Linked DNA regions of Tribolium castaneum. The protein of the gene in region 1 purifies or fractionates together with the protein of each later gene. This does not show direct contact. Links are inferred from orthologs where the notes say so. Each region holds a gene or a part of one and is shown on either strand. Other genes may lie near its edges.

Region 1 (8,385 bases):
GCTTGCTCCAATTGGTGAAACCTTGGGTGAGCAAGGCTTCTTTCTCCTGCTGTTCCTCCTCAGTCAACATCTCAGACTCGTCAATCTTCCGCTGTTCCTCTCGCTGTTGCTTGGCGGCCTCCGGCCCCAACTCCAAATTTTTGGGGACTTTGTAACCCAAAGTTTTGCGATAGTAGTAAATTTCTTGGTCAAGAAGCTCGAAAAGTCTGGGAGGGAAAAACTGGAAATCTTGTACGATAGGTTGTTTAGGAGGACGTGGTGCTTTCGGCGCTTTGGGCTCAGAAACACGTAAAGCTTCCCTGAAGTAGGCATCGACGGCATAATTGGCCTTTCTTTCACGCTTCGGAGGCTCGATCCAGGTGTTCAAACCGATGTTTTTCTGCTTTTCGCGATAATCCTCGCCTTCGAACTTGTAAACGGACTCTGTTGGCGTGTCCACAGTGAAGTTGCGCAAGGATGACTCGCCGAGAGCTTCGAGTTTTTGGGCCAGTTCCGCTGTCTAATTTTTTTTTATTAGATTAATGTTATAGTCAGGGAGGAGCACAAATAACTAGAGGATTCGAAACGATATACTAATTTAAACCTCCTCGATAGTTCAATAAATTAAAAAAATGGTTGTATTTAAATAACTGTGAATACAACGCAAATAAAAAAAAGTAGATTAGATCTCGTTTCGTCTCCTACGTAGTTAGGAGGTGAACTTTGTTAGTACTGGGAAATTAAGTATTTTACCTTTGCTTCGCCTTTTTGTAAGATAGTGTCGATGTCTTCATCGGTGATTTCCGAGTCTTTCGATGCGAAGACATGATTGGCCCCGTGCCGGATCATGTTCAACATCTCGTCTTTGTTCAAAGACTGCGATTTGTTGTCGATTAGACGCCCTTGTTGTATCACTAACTTGTCTAGCCTCAGCTTGACTTCGGCCCGTTCTACGATTTTTTCCTCGACTGTATTTTCGGTGATAAGTCTGAACACACGAACTTGTTTCTTTTGGCCGATCCTGTGCGCTCTGTCCATGGCTTGGAGGTCCATTTGCGGGTTCCAATCCGAATCGTAGATGATGACAACGTCTGCTGTTGCTAAATTAATACCCAAACCTCCGGCTCTCGTCGACAACATAAAAATAAATTTTGAGCTATTTGGCTCATTATATTCGTTGATTTGGCGTTGCCGGTCCTCGTGCGGCGTCTGTCCGTCCAATCTACAATAATTGTACTGTCTCCAGTGGCAGTAATCCTCCAAAATGTCCAACATTCGTGTCATTTGTGAAAAAATCAAAACCCTCGAGTCCTGCTCTTTTAATTTGGGCAGAAGCTTGTCCAAAAGCACCATTTTCCCGCAATTGTAGACTAAATGTTCGTCGGTGGTGTACGGGGGCCCAGGCTCAGCCCCATCGAACAAATAAGGGTGGTTTGAACACTTACGCAATTGCATGAGAATGTTCTGTAGTCTCATTTTTTCTACTTTACCGGCCCCGTTTACCACATCAATATCCTTCATCAGGACTTTAGTATACCACTCGCGCTGCATTTTGCTCAAACCGACGTAAACTTTGAGTTCTTTTTTCGGTTTTAATTTTTTCTCGACCTCGGATTTGAGACGTCTCAATAGAAACGGCTTCAAGACAGCGTGCAAGCGTTCGACTAACTGGTTATCACCCAAACACTGGTTTGTGTTAAACCAAGCGTCGAAATCATCAGCAGAGTTAAAAACATCAGGGAGTAAAAAGTTAAGGAGGGCCCAAAGTTCGTGTAAATTATTTTGTAAGGGGGTACCGGTGAGTAAGAGACGATTTGTTGTTTTAAACTCACGGAGAATCTCCGATAATTTCGATTTCTCGTTTTTAATACGATGAGCTTCGTCTATTACCATGTAGCGCCAGTTGAATTTCTTAAAAACTGATTTTTCTTTGATAACCATTTCGTACGAAGTCACACAGACGTCCCAATCGCCTGGCATCATCACGTCCCGAATGAAAGCATTCTAAAAAAATAATTAACGAAACACAATTAGAATTAAAGGATCCATTCTATCAAAGCGGGGTTGTTATGATGACTAAGGTTGAAAAACATCTTAAATTCATAGAAAAATATAAAGATGCTTCAACTTTTTCCAACCATATTCTCTCTTCTAATCATTTTTGTACTGACAGTGATAAGGAAGAGGCCTTAACCTTAACCCCCTGTTACCAGCCCCCTTTTACGCCACTGATGAAGAATGTAATCGCGAAAGCGCTCTGTCCTATCACTCTTTTTGGATATTATAAATTTTTACGTAGGTTGGACTTTGTGTTTTCCAACCTTAGTCAAAACACAATTAAACTAAACCAGGTCTTACCCTGGCCTCTTGGTCCCCAATGAGACACACAGCGCGGATGCTGGGACACCACTTCTTGAATTCGTTCATCCAATTGGCTAGAGTCGACTTGGGGACAATCACAATGTGAGGAGACGGCGTGTTTTTATAATGTTTCATGAAACCTAGCAAGGAAATGGTCTGGAGCGTCTTCCCGAGCCCCATTTCGTCGGCCAAGATCCCATTGATCCCGTTTTCGTACAAAGACACCATCCAGTTCAGCCCCCGGATTTGGTAGTCCCTCATTTCCCCGTTCTTGATGAAAGGCGGCGAGGCTTCGAACCGAATCGTCGGTTTGGCCTTGGCATTGCTTTCGGCCAGCAGTTCTTCATCTTCTTCCTGCTCGGTCTTGCGGTGGCGGTGGTCCGCCACTGGGTCTTCCTTGATTTTCTTGGGACGGCCCGATTTCGGTTTCGAAGGCGTTTTGTTTTGGTTCATAAAGTGGGAGAAAATCTCGGTTTGTTTGAGCAGGTAATCGAAACGGCGGCTGCGGTCCGTTTCGAGTTTGGTCTCGAAGTCTTCGCCCTTCCCACGCGACGAGAGGGTGTCCGAAGACGAGGCATTCTTCAATTTCATAAATAAAGCAGAGTCAATGACCCGTTTTTACTTTTACTATTGTGGTTGTTTTAACAACAAGGCTCTTACCGAATTCTCACCAGTGTCAGCGGTTTCACCGCCTTCTTCCACTTTGGACATGGTGCTGGGTGCGCGAAATTCTTAGCTAAAACTACGGAATGTTGGTTTTTAACGACGATAATTTGGAAAAATGCCGTTCATTTAATGATTCGGAAGCGATACGTAGCGGGAAACACTACGAACTAGTCGCAGGACGGCCGCATCTGGGGGCAAATGCGTCAAACTGGTGAAACACCAACAATCCCTACACACTTTGAGCCCATTTTCGGGCGAAAATACAACAATAATTGCATGCTGCACCCCACAACAACGAGAGAATTTTATGATGTGGACAAATTTTTAAAAGACAATTTTTCATAAGGCGGTGAAAGCGTTTTAGACGGTGGCCTTGTAAATGTTGGTAGTCCCGACTGTCAGATTGTTTAAAACGCCGGATGTTTGGTTGTGTTATCTCAACATCAACAGTTTTGGAATAAAAACATAAAACCGTTCCTGATAATGGTAATTGACTATTTTCAATAAGTACTTAGGCGTTAGTATTGATTTTAGACGACGTCCCCTTCCTTTGTTTTAAAAAAGAATCTCTCCTCAGTTCGTAAGAAGATGGCAGGCTCCAAATTTGAGTTGACTGAAGAGCAGAAGAACGATATTAAAGAGGCGTTCGATTTGTTTGATAATGAAGGCTCTGGGAAGATCGACGCCAAAGACCTGAAGGTGGCAATTAGAGCGTTGGGATTTGAGCCAAAGAAGGAAGAAATCAAGAAAATGATTGCTGATATTGATACACAGGGAACTGGAAAACTGTCTTTTGATGATTTCTTGCAATTGATGACCATGAAAATGGCCGAAAAGGATTCGAAAGAGGAGATCATGAAGGCGTTTCGCTTGTTTGACGATGACGAGACCGGAAAAATCAGTTTTAAGAACCTGAAAAGAGTGGCTAAAGAACTAGGAGAGAATCTCACAGATGAAGAATTGCAAGAAATGATTGATGAAGCAGACAGGGATGGAGATGGTGAAATCAATCAGGAAGAATTCTTGCGAATTATGAAGAAAACCAGTTTGTACTAAGTTGGAAACATACCAGGTGATTTCGTAAAATGCTAAAATGACAGCCTTACAAGAATTAAATGCACAGTTTCCTGTCCTATTCGCAATTTAATTTGTTTAAAATGTATTTGGTTTTGCATTAAATTGTAAGGCTAGTCTAGTCGTCTTGCGTGAATCACCCTGTACCAATTAATTGTTTGGAAACGTCTAGTCACCGTTGCACAAATTGTCAGTATTGTAAGTAGTCTAATATTTGTAACTTCTTAACTCAGTCTTAATCATTTTCCAAATTTTCATGCATTATTTTTAAGAAAAACTCGTATATATTTCTACTAAACCATCAAAAACAACGTTGAATTTGACTGTGATTTTTAACCCTTTTTTTCTAACTCAGATTTTCCTAAAAACATCAATTTTAAAATCGACTCATTTTTCTAAAATAAATTGTTTTTAGAAAAACCTGTCTGAGAAAAAAAGGGTTAAAAATAAAATTCAAGTTGTTTTTGATGTTTTAGTAGAAATACGGGTTTTTGTTAAAAATAAAGCGTAGAAACATGACAAAGATGAGTGGGCAAATAATCTGAGTTAAAAGGTTACACATGTTAGACCACCATTGTAAAATGTGTGTTGCACGAGATGCTTTATTTAATTTTGAAAATACAACATATAAAAATATAAAATATATATTTTTAAATAACATTCCTTCAAATAAATCAATGGATGAATTAAATTTGTTCTTTGACTGACCCATCGGCCAACCCAAAATAGGCCTTCTTGGCCATGTTAACAAATAGTCCCGTCTCCACAACTCCCGGAATGAGATTCAATTTGGTGTTGATTGTGTCCCATTTATAATCCTGGAAGTTTTTCCAATCCAGGATAAAATTCCCATTATCGGTGACCACAGGTCCAGCTTTGGCTTTAGCCATTCTGAGCTCAACTGTCCCTCCCAGTTGGTTTTCAATTTGCGTTTTAATGGGGAGATAGGCCATCGGAACAACTTCAATCGGAATCCCCTTTTTGTATTGTTCCCCCAGCTTTTGTGAATTTTTGGTATAATCCGCTATAATAATTAACTCCTTGGCGCAGCTAGCAACAATCTTCTCCTGCAATAAGCATCCCCCACCTCCTTTAATCAATGTCAAGGTGGAATCAACTTCATCGGCACCATCAATGCAAACATCCAATCTTGGATGTATCTCTAGGTCGGTTAGGTGCAGCCTGTGCTGGATGATCAATTGCCTGGCTTGAAAGGACGTTGGGACACACTGTACATTTAATTTTTCGTTTTTCACACGTTCGGCTAACCTCTCAACGGCGTAAACAACGGTGGAGCCGCTGCCGACACCCACAATGGAATTGTTTTGCACGTGGAGGTCCACAGCTTTGTAGGCCGCCAGTTTTTTAGCACTTTCGAGGGATGCCATCGTGACGAATGATCTCCTTAAAAGTTGAAATAAATTCATGGATTTTAAGATAAATTATTCAACTTACGTTTCGCAACGTGCTCATGCGCCTCTGCAGCTTCCTTTTGTGGCTCTATTTTCAAAGTTGCGAGCTGGAAACCGGATAAATTGCACGCTTGTGGGAATAATACGTAACAATTTAATTACTTATTCAACGTAAACAACTATTACCAGTGTCGTTTTCCCCATGTAATTATTTATTACTCCGTTGGTCATCATTTTTTAACGAATGAGAGTGATTAGTGATTTCTGATTTCATTGAGAATGATTTAAATTTCATTAAATCTACTCGTATCATTAGTTAGGTAGGAGTACACGAGTTATTAATATAGCATCATTTTCAAAATGAAAAGAAAATAAAATATATAATTTTTTTTTCAAAAAGCCTTAACTTCTTCACTTTTAAATACCTTGCTACCTTAAGTTTTAGAGTTGTCTTCCTAGGGGTGTTTTCAAATAAAAAAAAATGGGGGGTACAATAGAGTTATCAATTTTTGAAGGGGATTAAAGCATTTGAAAAAGGTAAGTATAACACTTACGTATTCTGAGGCCAGCTTTTTTTGGTAATTTAAAAAAAAATTGTAAAATATTTGAAATAATATTAAAAAACGCAAAAAATACTACGTACTACATATTTTTCCGATTCATTTCGGCGATTTTTCGGTTTATTCTTTGGCAGACTGGTGTTTCTAGACAAAAAATGTGCCGACCAAAAAAACGCATAAGCGGCAAAGTAATTTCATTTTGGATTCAATTTACTAGTTTTTCAGCTTAGTTTAGCCAAATTTCGAGAAGAACGAACTGCCTTTTCATCTTAAAAACGTGTTTAAATTAAATTAAAAATGTAAACAGTGCTCTAATATTATGAAATATTGTAACTCGGCAAAAAATATTGGTTTCATAATTTTTACTGTGAGGTGAGATGCGGATAATACTTGACCTGGTATTTAATTTAATTTCAAATGCATCATCGTCAAAAAACTATTGTTTGCTAATGTTTTTTCACGTGTCCGGAAAATTTTCGAACGTGCCATAAAGGTGCACCTTAACTGGTTTAAATAACACCACTTATCACAATGATACTAGTATGGATATCACGCTCTTTTTGATGATTACAGGTATTTTAATTAAAACTTGATAGTTGCACTTACAGTTGGCTCACTTACTGATTTTTTTATTGATAATATACCTACTTGTAGTCGAACCAAATCAGTAAATAAATACAAAAGTATTTTATTAAAGTAGTTGAAAGTATTCTAACAACTCTTATTTCCTGAAAAAAACGGAAGTAGTGAGATGAATTAACAACATAAATTGAAAAATCTAATAGTTCATTATTTATTATATTACTTCACATTTTTTTTACTTTTTTATTTGATTGTGCATGTCTTTAATAAATATATCGGTTAAATATGATTTCAAGCGTGTAAACCTGGCGTTTTTTAATATTTGAAACTTTTTAACAAACATTGGTTCAAATAACTATTTACCAATCTGAAAATCTGAGACGCTTTTCTGCAATTCCGCCTTTTATCTCCAGCTCTTCTAATTGGATGGGGATATTAACATGAACACCGTATCAGCAAAGCTCTATATTTGGATGCAAACTGGTGAACAGTTATTTCTCTAGCTGATTATTGGGAGCAAGCAATTAGACTTCAGCTTTAAAAATTTTAGAACCGACACTTAAACTGAATGACGTGTAACACAATCGTGCTTTGCATCAAAATTTTTCGACCAGACTTGTGTAAAATATGCATGTTTGTTCGAACGTAGTGTTTCCTGCAGCTCGCCTTTTAATCTAAGAAAAATGCATCAGGAGATTTATCTTTATCTTGCGAAAGTAATTTTGCCAAGCTTCTGAAAGTTGTGTGCGGGTAAACTAATGGAAGGTGCGAGACCATTTTGAAATATTTAGTTGGTAGCGTCTAAACGTCGGAGTTATTTAATTATTGCCGGTTCTGGCTAAATGACAAAATTAGGTTTGTGAAGGAAGGACGTCGTTATACCCATATTGTTGCCTATCACGCTACAATTTAAAAGTTTTATTCGGCTTTGTTGCAGTAAAATTTCTACGAAGTAATCATCACACATATTTGAATTCAAAGTTCATTGTAATTCTGATTACTGGAATTTAAATCATGACCTAATTTACAAATAAAATAAACGCTCTCATTGGAAAACAATATCAATGAGAATAATGCAAAAACATCAAGCTTAGTCGGGTTGTGTTCTTTCCAAATACAGGTTTGTGCCCACATTTCGCCCAGTTATCACATTAACATAATTCTGTTTCAGCAATGAAGCATCCGCTCTTGTTGTGCGTCCTTGGAGCGGTGATAAGCACTGTGTTCTCTGCCGAACCACCGGCGTGTGACTACGAACACGACATTAGGACCTATTTCTGCAAACGCATCCGAGACGTGTTTCCCAACATTTTCTACGGAAACTACCACCTGCAATGTGAGCAGTGCAACATCCGGATTTTTACCAACAAGACCTTCCCTTTCTCCAACAGTCTAGTCTCATTCAACGTTTCCGAAAGTGCAATCAGAGTAATCACTTCTAGGGCCTTCTCCTCCTTATCAAACATACAATACCTTTATTTACAAAACAACATTATCGAAGACATTGAGCCGGGGGCTTTCGCCGGTCTCCGCCAAGTCTACGAAGTCCATTTAGAAAATAACAATCTGGGGAAAATCGTGCCGGGGTTTTTGGACGATTTGGAAGCGAACACCGTTGATTTGAAGAACAACAAGATCAAGCACTTGCCAAGTGGGGTGTTTGGAGGCTCTTTGGGAGTCCTCATTCTTGACTTGTCGAAGAACCGCATCAAGACTATCGAACCGGACGCATTTGCGGGTTTGGAGAGCTT
Region 2 (6,965 bases), on another chromosome or scaffold:
GTTTGTCGTCACGCCTGACTATATACAACAAAGTATGTTGCTATATCAACCATCTGTAATTGTGTACAATCCTAATTGTACCACTTACCCATTGCAAAACGACTTCGTCAATCGGTTTTAATTAACTTAAACAATCGAACAGTATTTAGAAGAGCAAGGGTTCCTACTCGATCAAAAGTTTCCCTATTGTGCGTATTTTATTTCTGTGATATTTTCGTGTTTTTGTTCCCTAAAAAAGACTGATTTTTATACATTTGTTCGTTTTCGCTTATTTCATGTGACGTTACCGGAAACTTTTGAGGTAAATAAATTATTATAATCTAGTTGCAACAATTTCCATGCGATGATGTAAGCTGTACCTAAATGTATCCGAAAAATTGTGTAATAAAACTGTTACAAAAAGCGACCAGGAGTTTCCTTGCCAAAAACCTTGCACTTCTTTATTTTCAAGTCGTTTTGCTTTGGGTCTCCTAGTTATTACCAGAACTTCCCTCTTTTATTTTGTATTTTTCATATTTTTTTGTCTGAATTTATGCAGCTATTAAAACTGCACTTAAACAAGAAAACCTTAATCCCGAGATCGAAGAGAAACTGTTGCAACTCCAACGATATCAAGAGAAACAAATGAAGCAAGAACCGGACATTCCCACGCCAGTAGCCAAAGTTAACACTCCATTACCGGTCAGTAACACGCGCTTTAACGTTTCGCGCAAACGGACCCCGAGTGCCAGCAGAAACGACGACAGCGACTGGGTCATGGAGACGCCGAAGCGCTCGAGGCCCAACAGAAACAGCGAAATTAAAAAAATTGACGATATACAGTAAGTACAATTTAATTAGTAAACGAATCAATTACTCAAGCAACAGCAACTAAGTATTAAAAAAATGCAGTAACAACGGAATATGTAAAACAGAAAACCGATCGGTTTTGCCGTGTTTGGTAAATTGTTTTAATTTTAGAGTCTTATTCTGCCTCAAAATGTTACAGTTTGGATTAAAACGGCTTATTTCGGACGATTCTTTGCTTCGAAACGCGGAAACTTTTATAAAACAGATTGAGAACGTCTTATACTGTCTCAAAACAACGATTTATCGTACAGTTTAACTAAAAACGGCTTATTTTGGACGATTCTTTGCTTAGAAATTGGTTAACTTTTATATAACAAACAGAACACGTTTCAATCTGTCTCAAAAGAACTATGTTATAGTTTGCATGAAAACGGCTTGTTTTAGACGTTTTTTTGCTTCGAAACGAGAAAACTGTTATTAAACAGACTAAACACGCTCTATATTCTGGCTCAAAAGAACGAATTAAGTTACAGTTTGGATGAAAACGGCTTATTTTGGGCAATTATTTGCTTGAAAACGAGTAAACTTTGATAAAAGAGAAGGAAACCGTCATATTTTGGCTGTAAATCTTGAACTAATAACCACAAAAATTTGCGTTTGCTAAAGATGCTTTATTTTTTCGACAATTTTTTGTAATAAATATTAATGAATTGAAAATACTAATATTCATAAAACAATAAACATTAATTATATTAACCGAAATTTTGAGGTTTCTCTGTCATGCGTGTGGTCATTCTTAAATGTTTTGTTTAAAAAATACGTAAAAAAAGTAGAAACGTAGCATTAGCGCTTTGTTAAAAAATAATAAGAATTTTTTTAGTTTCTTGGTCGTATCATAACAGTGCATCATTCTTCTACACGTTTCTTACAATATTATCAATATTTAAGATTTTAATAAAAAAAATATCAAGTAATTTTATGTTGGCGCAAATTCTAATTATGTAAAAATAGAAAAATTATTTTTAGTATAGTTGCCTCTGTCGCACACTTTGTGTCTTTTTTAGCCTTAAAAAATTAATTGCATTTGCTGCTCTATTTTGGTATTGTTAATTTAAGGGCGCGTGTGATTTATTTTTTATTTTAGTGAATCCAGCAAGGAGAAATTAATTTCGCCCCGCGCCCGCGTAAAATTAAAAGAGGCGGCTGAACCCGATCGAAAAGTAACCCAAAGAACAAAAATATTGGTCAGTTTATATCGCCAGAAGGAATTTCTCAAGAAAGACATTTTACGAAAGCGGGCCTTACTTGAAAAGGAATTACAATACGAGATTCAGGTAAATTGAATAAAAAAATTATCTTATTTTATATTGATTGTGTTGGGATTGTAGAAAGAAGTAGCAGAGGAATTAGCTGCCCGGACAAAGATCGAACGAACCAAACAAGATGAGGTTCGCACTGGTAGCAGTAAACGAAAATCGGCAGCGACGGCCACCACGGCGGTCATCCCTCAAGCCTCCAAAACTGCTCGTCACAAGAAGGGCCAAAAACAGACTCATGCCGTCCCATCGACGGCGGCACAAAGAAGTGGCATTAAAAAGGAAAAATTGTATTGCGTTTGTCGGACGCCGTACGACGAGACGAAGTTTTACGTCGGTTGCGATTTGTGTAATAATTGGTTCCACGGGGATTGTGTGGGAATCACCGAAGAGAGTAGTCGAACGCTGACTGAGTTTGTCTGTGAGGAGTGCAAGCAGGCCAAAGATACGGAAAAATTGTACTGTTTGTGTCAGCAGCCATACGACGACTCACAGTGAGTTGGCTTGGGTGAAGTTGAGTTCAGGCGTGATTCGTTTGTGTTTAGGTTTTATATCTGTTGCGACCGGTGTCAGGATTGGTTCCATGGCCGCTGTGTGGGGATTTTGCAGTCGGAAGCCGATAATATCGACGAGTATGTGTGTCCAAGGTGTCAGAGGAATTCGTCGGTGAATTTCGCAAATATGAAGGATTTGTCGCAGAAGGACTTTGAGGCGTTGAAAAAACTAATCAAACAATTACAGGTGAGGACTTTTTACTCTAGTTATAAAAACTGCTTACAAAAAATTCGAAATAATTGTTCCCATTTTAAATTTTTCATGGCAGTTATAGTGCATTCTATTTTGTTTACCTCAACACTTTTTTACCTGAACCGAAAACTTGTGCACCGTAGATTTCTGCACAATGTAAAACGTTTTCGTACAGCCTGGTTTCTTATAATGCTGTTGTCATTTGTAATATCGAAAACCATTTGAATTCAAAATAAAGGTAAAATATTTATTACTTTAGTAATCGTTCTTTTGTTATTTTTGTTTTTCATTCGTTATTATTATTTTTATGTTTTTTAATATTATAGGAACACATACTATTCTTATCGTATTACTTTAAAAAATATATTTATATTCATCTCTTTACATTTTTTAATAAAGGTTTATTATTATTTTTGTTTGTGTAGGCTCATAAAAGCGCTTGGCCGTTCATGGAGCCGGTGGATCCGACTGAAGCTCCCGATTATTACAAGGTGATTAAGGAGCCAATGGGTAGGTCCTTATGGTTTGGTTTTGGCGGTTTAGTGATTGTCGCTTGTTTCAGACCTCCAAAAAATTGAGAATAAAATCAATGATCAAAGTTACACAAAGTTGAGTGAGTTTATAGGGGACATGACGAAAATATTCGATAACTGTCGATACTACAATCCAAAGGAATCTCCGTTCTTCAAGTGTGCAGAGTCTTTAGAAGCTTATTTTGTGAATAAGATAAAATGCTTAAGAGATAAATTTATGGAGACCAACAAATGATTCGTTTCTTAAATGAGCTTTTTTAATTTTAGGCAATAAGTGCGTACACGGGATTTCAAGTTGATTGGTAATAGATCTCAGCGTAGGAATTGTGTGACCAACTTGAAATCTTGACTTTTTTGTATATAAGTTGTGAATATATGTACGAATGCGATTTAAGTTAGATTTAAATAGTTACGACATATTTTTAAAAGCTCTGTATTATTTATATTTAAATTAATAAACTTGTTTAAGTTTTTTAAATTATTTTCGGAGTTCATGATGTAGTGTATTTATATAAAACGTGGATATATAAAGCATCTATTCAGATATAGTTAGTGCCATTGTAGATATTGTGTTATTTAACAGAGTCTTCTTATGTTTGCACATATGAAATTTTTATATTTGGTCGGTATTATATCGACTTGTAACAGTAAATATAATATTTACATTAACTGCGTTTCATTCCCTAATCGCTGTTTTAGGCGAAAGAAGAGGACTGACGCAAGTATAATTTTTATTTTGTTTAATTATTACATTAGTTTTCCCTCAGGACCTGTCTGAAGCGCTCCAGGAACACATCGGCGTGGCGTTCCTGGAAAATGAGCGACGGTCTCAGCCTCAAAGAGTGATCCCCACAGCCCCCCATCAAAACACCTGAAACCGAAACATTACCCAGTCCTCAAGCAAACAAACACTAACCTTTCTGCTTCATTTTCGCAATAATACTGTCTCGCAAAGCGGGCGTGTGCGCATTCACGGCCAAAAACGTGCCACGTCCCCTGGTGGAGTTAATTTTTTCAGGAAATTCAGCCTCCAGTCTCAACAAGCCTTTCTTCAACTTATCCCCGACTTTATTAACATTATCCAGGAGATTCTCATTTTTGATAGTCTCAAGACACGCCTCCAACAGGGCGATTTTCCCCGGATCCCCCATCCAGGTATTGAAAATCCTGTAGGGCTGTTTGGGCCTCAAATCAACCGAATGGTAGTACCCCCCTGTCAGCATTTTTTTGCTGAAGGTGACGATATCAGGGGGCGATTCTAGATTGAAGTGTTCGTGTGCCCAGAACTTCCCTGTGGCCCCACACCCTGTCTGGACTTCGTCAATGAGATAACTGGCGCCGTATTTCTTGGCGATTTTCTGCAACTGTTGGAAGAATTCCGGCGAGGCCTCGTTGTCGCCCCCTTCCGACTGGATGGGCTCGATGACGATCCCCGCCACGGGTTTGCCCTTCTTATTGTAAGTCTGGATCAAGTCCTCGACCGCTGCGAGACACCTCTTGTCTTCGGCCGCGTTCTCGCGCGCGTGTTCCTCAAGGGGGTACTTGTACTGTGGGAAGGGGGCGATGGGCCAGTCGAACGAGGGCACGTCGAGCTTGTGGATGGCTTTGGAGTGCGTGGTGGCGAGGGCCCCCAAAGTGCGGCCGTGGAAGGCCCCATGGAAGGACAGCAGGGACAGGTCGGGGGCGCCGGGTGGCTTGTTACTAACGCAGCTCTCTTTCTCCAGGTCGGTGAAATCGACGTTTTCGCCTCGTTGGTGCCGGCGGTAGGCGATAAACATGGCTTTGTACGCGTTTTCGTTCGAACACGAGCCACACATCATTGTGGTGACGTTTGGGAGCCGGGGGGCCACTGAGAGTAATACGCTGCGGAGCTTTTTCGGCCAGTAATCGCCCGGGAATACGCCCAGGGCTGGCCGGTTGACTAGTGCTTTCTAAATTTTTTGAAAAACTATGATTAGGTATTTTTTTATTATTTGAACTAACCAAATTATCTTCATTTTGGAATACTTTGAGTAGGGATGGATGGTTGTATCCTATCGGGATTGACGCGATTTGGTTGTATGTGTCGAGGATTACGTTCCCGTCAACATCCACGATGTAGTTCCCGAGGGATTTGTTGTAATCGGCGAAAAACTGAACCGCTTCGCTCTGTTGGATGGCATTGAGTTCGGCGTGAAGTTTTCGGGAGTTCGGACCCGGAATTTCGGTTTTTAGCTGGGGCCCCGTCGGTTCGCCTTTGACGTAAGTCCTAACAGAGCCTACAAATTTTGTTTCCACTGAGCGGTTTTAACATATTTGCGTTATCTGTTGTGAAATAATAGAACAACAGATATGAAAACATTTTTATCGTGAACGTAAGTCAACTGTTTTTGCATTTTCTATTAAGGGAAAGAATTACTCCCACAAGTCATTTGCCGTCACATATTTTTAGGGGACACACGTTTTTTAAACTGATTCTTAATGGAGAATGTTCTGCTCACTGCAAATTCGAAGTTCGATAATCTGTTTTTGAAATCATGTTCGTCATAAGAAAAAGACGTTACTTTGTTCGTTTTAAGAGTTTGATGAGTTAACGATTGACAATTTCAAATTAAAACAAAAGCCAATTTATTTTTAAGGGTCCACTATTGGTCCAAAAGTATTTCATTTTTTCTTTAATACCCTAATGTTGAAAGGAAATAATGTTCAAAGAACACCCAATATTTTTTTCTGTTTTCAGGATTTTTTTCTGATTTAAATAAAGCACTGATAGCATTTTAACAGACTTTCGCCCCTACAGCCCGATTAGAAGAATGTATCCTGTAAGTTACTTTCAAAAACCTAACTTATAACGGTTGTAAAACTCCGAGAAAATTGACTGAAATTCGACCCTTTTTAGCGTTGGTATTCTCTTAAAAATATCCTTTATTTTTAAGAGAATTTAATTTTATCCTGTAAGTTACTTTCAAAAACCTAACTTACCTAACGGCTGTAAAACTCCGAGAAAATTGACTGAAATTCGACCCTTTTTAGCGTTGGTATTCTCTTAAAAATACAAACAATTTTACATTCAAACCTGTCCAAATATTGGAAAATGGTTTTCTTTTTTTGTGCTTACGTCGATGTTAAGTTAAAAATAATATCTGTTATGAAATAATCAGTAAAAACATCAAAACATTTTTATCGTGAACGAAAGTGAGTGTGATGCACTGATGAGTAAAGCACTTGCAATGGATTTTATTAAACGTTTAACCTTTTAAATTCGTTTAAATTGTATTTAAATTTTTATCCACACGTGTTTATGGCGTCCAAACATAGCTTCATGTCTTTGATTAGAGACACAGTGATAATAGAGCTGAAAATGTCAAATCACGAAAGTGCTCCTCATATCTTATTTAAACAAGATCAAAATATTTATTTAAAAATTGTGGCTATTTACCAAAATACGTAACCTTGATTTTAATAAAAGCAAATACATGTGGGATTATTTTTATAACTATCGAGTTATTTTTCTCTTTCGAATGTAGAGCGTACCACTAAATGAACATTATTATCCAATTTAATCCTGTTAAAATCATTTGTAAACATCTCTTATATAATT
Region 3 (6,388 bases), on another chromosome or scaffold:
TTCAAATGAACATTCAACTGTTGCTTAAACGTGAAACTCTTGCTGCAAAATTCACACTCAAACTGTTTATACCCCGAATGAACTAGCAGATGATTCTGCAACTGCTGCTTAAATTTGAAAGTCTTATCGCAGAGGCCACACTCGTGGGGCTTGATATCACTGTGCATTTTCATGTGGTTCCTCAGGTGGAGCTTTAATTTGAACTCTTTATGGCAAACACTACACTCGAACTCTTTTTCATCGCAATGGACCTTCTCATGGTTCTGCAGCGTTTGCTTCAATTTGAAATCCTTGCCACACACGCAGCAACAAAACGGCCTCTCATTGCTGTGCACCAAAAAGACATGTTTCTGCAACTGGTGCTTGAACTTGAACCGCTTCTCGCACAAGAGGCACTCGAAACTGTGGCTTTTGTCGTGACTTCTCACATGCATCTTTAGCCAATTCCTCCGTTTGAACTTTTTGGGGCAGAGTTCGCACTCAAACGGGTGATTCTTGATGTGGTTCATGACGTGAACTGTTGCTGCCTCGGCGAGACTTGACAAAGGGCCCTAAAAGCACTGATAAGCAACTAAAAGAGTTACTTGGATGGGACTGACATTCTAAGGTTATGTCAAATAAACATGAGTTTAGGGGGCCGAAGGCCCCATAAGGAGGGTTCAGCAAAACGACCGGCTTCTACTTAACGTTTATTCAAGTTGCGTTTTATACAGTTTCATTGATTTTATTAAATATTTACAATCTTGTGTGAATAGACGGTCGGTAACACAAAGGAATCTTTTTTACCGACTCACAACTAATTCAAAATAACTTTAATTAATAACTATTTACAATAAGAATGGTCGATTTGGTCGTTTGGTTCGACTTTAATCTCCCCCAGCTCAAACACCGAGTGCTCGTCCAAGTCCAGCGGCTCCACCTTGATGCACTCCTCGAAAATATTCTCCGGTAGTTCCCCCGCGTTTTGTATATCGTCCGGATCAACGCCTACGTACTCGGGTCCGGTCAACTTGAGGGGGTCCTCCCTCGTGCAGTCCCCCACACTCACACTGCCCCCAAAAACACTCACGTCGACCTCCTCGATCTGGAGGTCCAAATTGCGGCTGGGGACGTGGTCCGGGTTCAGCGGATCGTCCACCGGGAAGCCCAGTATGAAGTGGTCCGAGCACACCGTCACCTGGTTGTCGCTGCAAGCCCTGGTGAACCTCTTCCAAGCGTGGAAACGTGTCCAGTTCGTCTCGTTGCGCTCCAGCGTGAAGAAGTGCTTGTTTTTGTGGACGTTGTCCTGGTTGTGGCACGAGCGCACGTCGCACTCGCGGACGGTGATGGGGGCTTGGGGCAGGTTCAAGGTGGGGATCGCCCTCGCATTGAGGGTGTCTGGGACTGTGGTCTCTCCGTAGTAGTCGGTCTTCTGGAAATGCATGGAACAGACGCGCTCGCAACGCGCTGGGGTTCTCATGAGGAGGATTTCCTCCCATAGCTTGCGGATGCACATCAGTTTTTTGGGACCACCGGCGTCGAGGGTGCTTACGGAGAGGTAAGTCGTGTCTTTGGGGGGAAATGGGTGGAAAGATAGTAAGGGGTGGGTTCGGCTGTTGGTATGGCAGTTTGAAACCGAGCAAAAGTAATTATCTTTCATTTTTTCATAGATTTCAACAGGTTTTTGCCAAAAATGCGAAAGAGAGGTTAAGTGCACTGTTGACAACTGTCACAATAAAATCATAAATTAATAATAATTTCAACCAATTTAGGCCGAGGATTAATAATAATTAATTTAATCATGGTCGTAATATATTAATTACGTGCATCTGTGGTGGTTTTTGCACAATTTTTTCGTAAAATATTAGGGTACGTTCCATAAAATTGTGCTAGTGTCACTTGGAATAACGGATCCTTGTATCTCCTCTTATCTGTATCACTGAATTAATAATCTTTCAGTATTTTGTAATTATGTAATTATGTATATTTCATAATCATAAACGAATTTTTTGCTGAACAGCTCAATTAGGTCATTCAATTTTTTTTACAAAAAAAATTGTTTAAGTGTTTATTATCAGTTAGTTTATTCGTTAATTGCAAAATTTTCAAGTTTTTATATCGTGATAAGTAACGTCTAATAAGAATTTTTTTATTATTTTAATTTTTAAAGACTTGAATTCTATTTCAAATTTTTTAGAAAAATTTTAAATTAAGTATCATGTGGTGATAAATTTATTGCCAAAAACGCACCAATTAAACCCCGATAAAGTCATGTTTTTTATTAAAAAGGTGTTGAAGCCTTATGTTGACACGTGGATATATTGTTTCCTTTAATAAAGTATTCAAAAATTGTTACTTTCCATGTTGCGTTTTTGACAGATAACAAATCAGTCTTTCAACAACACATAAATAACAATCAAGTCACCACATATCTGTCGTTTGTCAATTACGGCAGTTGTTTTCCCAGCCGCCTCCCCCAACCGACCAAAATTTCCACATATAGCCCGACCTCGCGTACTTAAAAATAAATCACAAAAAAGCCGAATAATTTACACCGAGTAAATAAATAAATAGACAATGACGTCACTTGTCAACATTTTGGTAGCCTCTGTTCCACCCCCCACCAGTGCGTGTTTTGTCCAGTGACGTCTTGTGCAGTTTTCTCGAATCGCGTCGATTAGCTTCACGCTTTGTTACCCCATCGTCGAATACGAATTTTTGCAACAAAACCAATCGATACACCGTGCAAACGACTCATTTTCCCAATCGAAATCGCGAAAAAACCGCGAGTAAATTCCGGTCTAGTGTGCAGTGCTGCTGTCATTTTCCTTCCCGATCCAGAGTGCTGTGAAAAAATTTCGAGAGGGTTGCGATGGTTGCCGTTTTTTAGCATCGTTTTCGGGGAAAACGTCGATTTTTTGGTGAGTTTTCCACTGTTTGTTTTTGCGCAAAGTGGGCCAGTGGGCGGGGTGATATTTTGGGAGCAAGTCGCGACGAAAATACTCATTTATTCGTGAATTCGGTATTTTGGGACGAGGCAGTGGCGTACGCGGATTTTTGGCAAAGGGGGCAATGTCACGTGACTGCGTTAATAGACAGATGACGGCCATTGTGTGACGTCATTTCAGTGTCATGTCGTCCAAGCCATGGGGGGCCTTGCCCATCGTCCGGATAAACACCATAATGAAGAGTTCTTCAGAAGCGGAAAATATCAGTCGGGAGTCGTCGTTAATGATGACGAAAGCCGCCGAACTCTTCATTAAAATGTTGGCCCAGGAGGGCTATAAGTTATCCGCCACGGGTAAAAAACTTGATTACAAACACTTGTCAGAAGTGGTCAATCGGGATGAGAAATACGAGTTCTTGCAAGATATCATGCCGAAGAAAATCACGTATGCTGAGTACAAGAAAATGCAAGAGGGCCAACTGAACGGCGCCGAAAATCACCAAGAGATTTCAAGCGATGAGGAATCCAGCAGCAACTCGAATAGTGAATAAATTTTTGATTTTTCAATTTTTGTTTGATTTTTTTTCCAAGTTCAAGATTAACTGGCACGTGGCTGCTTGCGTGTAACGACTCTCCTCCTCCCCTATTCTTGCAAATACAGGGGTGGAATTTCCCCGGACGGTTATCGATTCGGACTTTCAAGGGCAGCGCTGCGGAAGTTACACCTGCTAGCCCTTTATTTATTTATTGTGGTGGCACCACTGACACAAAAAACCCTAAAGTCTAGCCCACTATGACCTTAAAATGCCTACAAGAAATAAACCCATACAGAATAATGCCCACAAAGAATAAACCCCACGTCGAAAAAATTCACATGAAAAAACCTAGGTACACGGAAAAAAGCTCACAAGTTAAGAAATGTATTGTGAAAAAAACCCACATGAAAAGAAAACCACACTGAAAAAAGCCCAGACGGATAAAAACTCACATGGAAAAAAGCTCACACAGAAAATACTCACATACCTCAAGAAAGAAAGAAGTTCACTACTACTTCAATAACTTCATTTTACGGTATCTTTAAGAGTTACTCAAAAAATACACTATAAATATTTTACATTAACAAAAAAATCTTACTTTATCCCAAACGCTACGTTGTACACTTTTAATAAGATAGTTGGCGGCACACTGGCGGATCCAAAAATTGGGGGGGGGGCTTCAAAAAATTTTAGAATGGTGAAGGTTAAGCTATTGAATAAAACTTTTATTTTAAATTTATAAGTAAAACAAAAAAAATACAACAAATAAAATTAAGTTATTTTTGTCTAAAAAAATTGCTTGTTACCCTTTTGGATATCCTAATTCCTACTCTTGAATAGGACTGTATAAACTCATCCTAAATATTTTTATTGTTATCCGAATAATTTTATAAATTTATAAATCTAGCCACGTTTATTTTTCCGTGAGCTTTTTTCTTGAGGATTGTGGGCTTATTTCATGGATATACAGTTTATTTCGATAGTATAGGCCCACTCGATCCTTGATTGTGACATAACCGGCGATTGTTTGAAGAGCAGATAAGAGAATTGATCCAGATTTGGGTCTCCTTATCACCGACGTTTAAGGAAACGGTCTCAATGTTTTTTTTTGTTAAGAGCTCGTGATGATTAAGATGTTTCGTTATCACTGAAGGAAGTTAACAGACCCGGACGAGTCTGAACCAGCGGCGCTCCTTTTTCATAAAACTGGCGCCAAAATTCAAGCCAAGATGACCCTCTTATCCACTTCAAATCACACTTTTAGTTCAAATCCCTTCTAATCTTTGATTAAACCAACATAGCGATAAAGATTCTTTGCACAATAACTACACTTTACCCCCTCTTCTACGCCACTGCCTCCGTAAATGATAACACAAAAGAGTATTTAGAAGTGGCCCCAGTCTCTCGTATCAGACGACACATGTTCGTGTCCAACCTCCGTAAAAAGTGAATTTTTCTCCCATTTTTTTCCGTCCAGTGCTGTTTTTACCCATTTGATGCCAGTGTCGGCGGTTATCGGGGGCGGCTACATGATGTTGGACGATTTTCAGTTGGCGGTTAGTAAATTAATAAATCAGTCTTTTGTGCTCCTGTTTACAACAATAGCTCACAATTGAAGTAACTTTTGACGCGAAACGGATCGAGGATGGCGGCGAAAATCGATGTGACCCGATTTCCTTGACATTGCGACGCGATGGCGAAATCCGGGAGACTTTGATTTCGAACAAATGAATATTTCATGCACAGCCGACTTGATCCATTTCTTAATCTTTTGTTTTACGTATCTATCGGATAAGAAGGTAATTAACCGATTAGATTGGGGTCAAGACGCGTTTGAAATGTGAAACATTTGCAAACTATTTCTGTCAGATTGAATCAGGATAGGAAAACACTTGCGGTTGTTTTTACGCAAAAATCAATCCGGTGCAAAGTTTTCCGTCTCGGGCGGCTGTGAAAAAAACACCGCTCGTAAACAAACGAGTGCGTTGACACAAAACTGAAGAGCCTCCTTGATTTTACTTAATCGTTGTCAATTGTTTATTTCAAGGCCTACGACACGCGGTATCGCTTAATTGCTGAGAAATTGTTTGGAAATTGTCATTTTTCGGCGTTTCCGCGCAGCTATTTATAAAAATTCGGATGCAAAATTGACGTAAAATGTTTGATCGTAAAAATAAAATTAACCCGCAAAGTCAGTTTGCCAAGTTATTTGACATTGTCGTGTTGCACGTAGGTTACAGTAATAATTGTAATTAGTGATCCGTTTTAGAGGTATTATTACTTAATTATCGTGTTTTTGACGAAATTACGGCGCATTAAGTGTCTTTGACCCCGAGTGATAAGTGTGAAAAAGCGCGAAAATGCAAGTCTGAGATATACAGACAGTTGCAGTTTAAATGAACCATGGCTGTATTTTGTAAAGTAAGGCAATAAGGAAGCTAGAGCGTCGTCTGCACTGTCCCATGTCGGCAAGAAACAACGTTGGGGGAGCCACTGTCCGCGCGTCGAAGGAACCTACATGTTTCGGTTTGAAACTTTGCTAAGTTTTGACAAAGTGTCAAAACTGTCAATCAGGGCAGACGACGAGCTGAGCTAGCTTGGTGTTATTTGTCAGTTTGTGTAGCGGCGATTGGCTGTTGCAGATCAACCTCCAACCTCCGTGGCCGCATGGCACGTCAGCGCGCGCCAATCACCTGCCGGCATAGTCCGCCCCTCCCCCGCATGGGCCACGCCCACCGCTTGTCTAAATTTCGGCGGCAATTCAGTCGAGACTTACAAGAATGGCCGAGGACGCCATGGACACACCCCCGAAAGTGAATCTAACCCCGCACAGTGATAGTAAAGTGAACGGTGAGCATTTGCCCCTCATGGAGGACGACAAGCCGGCGTTGCGCGTGCAGTTCGACAAGCCCCAAACGAGCGCCAC

The links.
Region 2: the proteins of Iswi (region 1) and E(bx) purify together in Drosophila melanogaster (affinity purification with western blotting; 7 studies listed by BioGRID, with this or other methods). This does not show direct contact. The link is inferred for Tribolium castaneum from reciprocal best matches to the Drosophila melanogaster genes Iswi and E(bx).
Region 3: the proteins of Iswi (region 1) and Chrac-16 fractionate together in Drosophila melanogaster (co-fractionation; 4 studies listed by BioGRID, with this or other methods). This does not show direct contact. The link is inferred for Tribolium castaneum from reciprocal best matches to the Drosophila melanogaster genes Iswi and Chrac-16.

Annotation. Positions count from the first base shown.
Region 1 is NC_087402.1:7,784,736-7,793,120, forward strand, and holds the start of Iswi (chromatin-remodeling complex ATPase chain Iswi), read right to left. Parts: upstream 3,216-8,385; 5' UTR 3,052-3,215; coding exon 3,001-3,051; intron 2,920-3,000; coding exon 2,338-2,919; intron 1,984-2,337; coding exon 733-1,983; intron 500-732; coding exon 1-499. Other genes in the region: uncharacterized protein LOC660873, read left to right, coding at 3,490-3,492, 3,541-4,062; Rpi (ribose-5-phosphate isomerase), read right to left, coding at 4,767-5,468; phospholipase A2 inhibitor beta, read left to right, coding at 7,808-8,385.
Region 2 is NC_087395.1:15,336,777-15,343,741, forward strand, and holds the end of E(bx) (nucleosome-remodeling factor subunit NURF301), read left to right. Parts: coding exon 1-32; intron 33-538; coding exon 539-821; intron 822-1,933; coding exon 1,934-2,123; intron 2,124-2,177; coding exon 2,178-2,599; intron 2,600-2,650; coding exon 2,651-2,846; intron 2,847-3,277; coding exon 3,278-3,362; intron 3,363-3,414; coding exon 3,415-3,620; 3' UTR 3,621-4,054; downstream 4,055-6,965. Other genes in the region: 4-aminobutyrate aminotransferase, mitochondrial-like, read right to left, coding at 4,138-4,256, 4,302-5,316, 5,369-5,643. UniProt on the Drosophila melanogaster protein: Histone-binding component of NURF (nucleosome remodeling factor), a complex which catalyzes ATP-dependent nucleosome sliding and facilitates transcription of chromatin.
Region 3 is NC_087399.1:7,014,899-7,021,286, forward strand, and holds Chrac-16 (chromatin accessibility complex 16kD protein), read left to right. Parts: upstream 1-3,111; coding exon 3,112-3,477; downstream 3,478-6,388. Other genes in the region: zinc finger protein 157-like, read right to left, coding at 1-42, 73-537, 585-601; uncharacterized protein LOC107398497, read right to left, coding at 824-1,639; monocarboxylate transporter 12, read left to right, coding at 6,243-6,388. UniProt on the Drosophila melanogaster protein: Histone-like protein which promotes nucleosome sliding of ATP-dependent nucleosome remodeling complexes. Part of the chromatin-accessibility complex (CHRAC) which uses energy/ATP to increase the general accessibility of DNA in chromatin.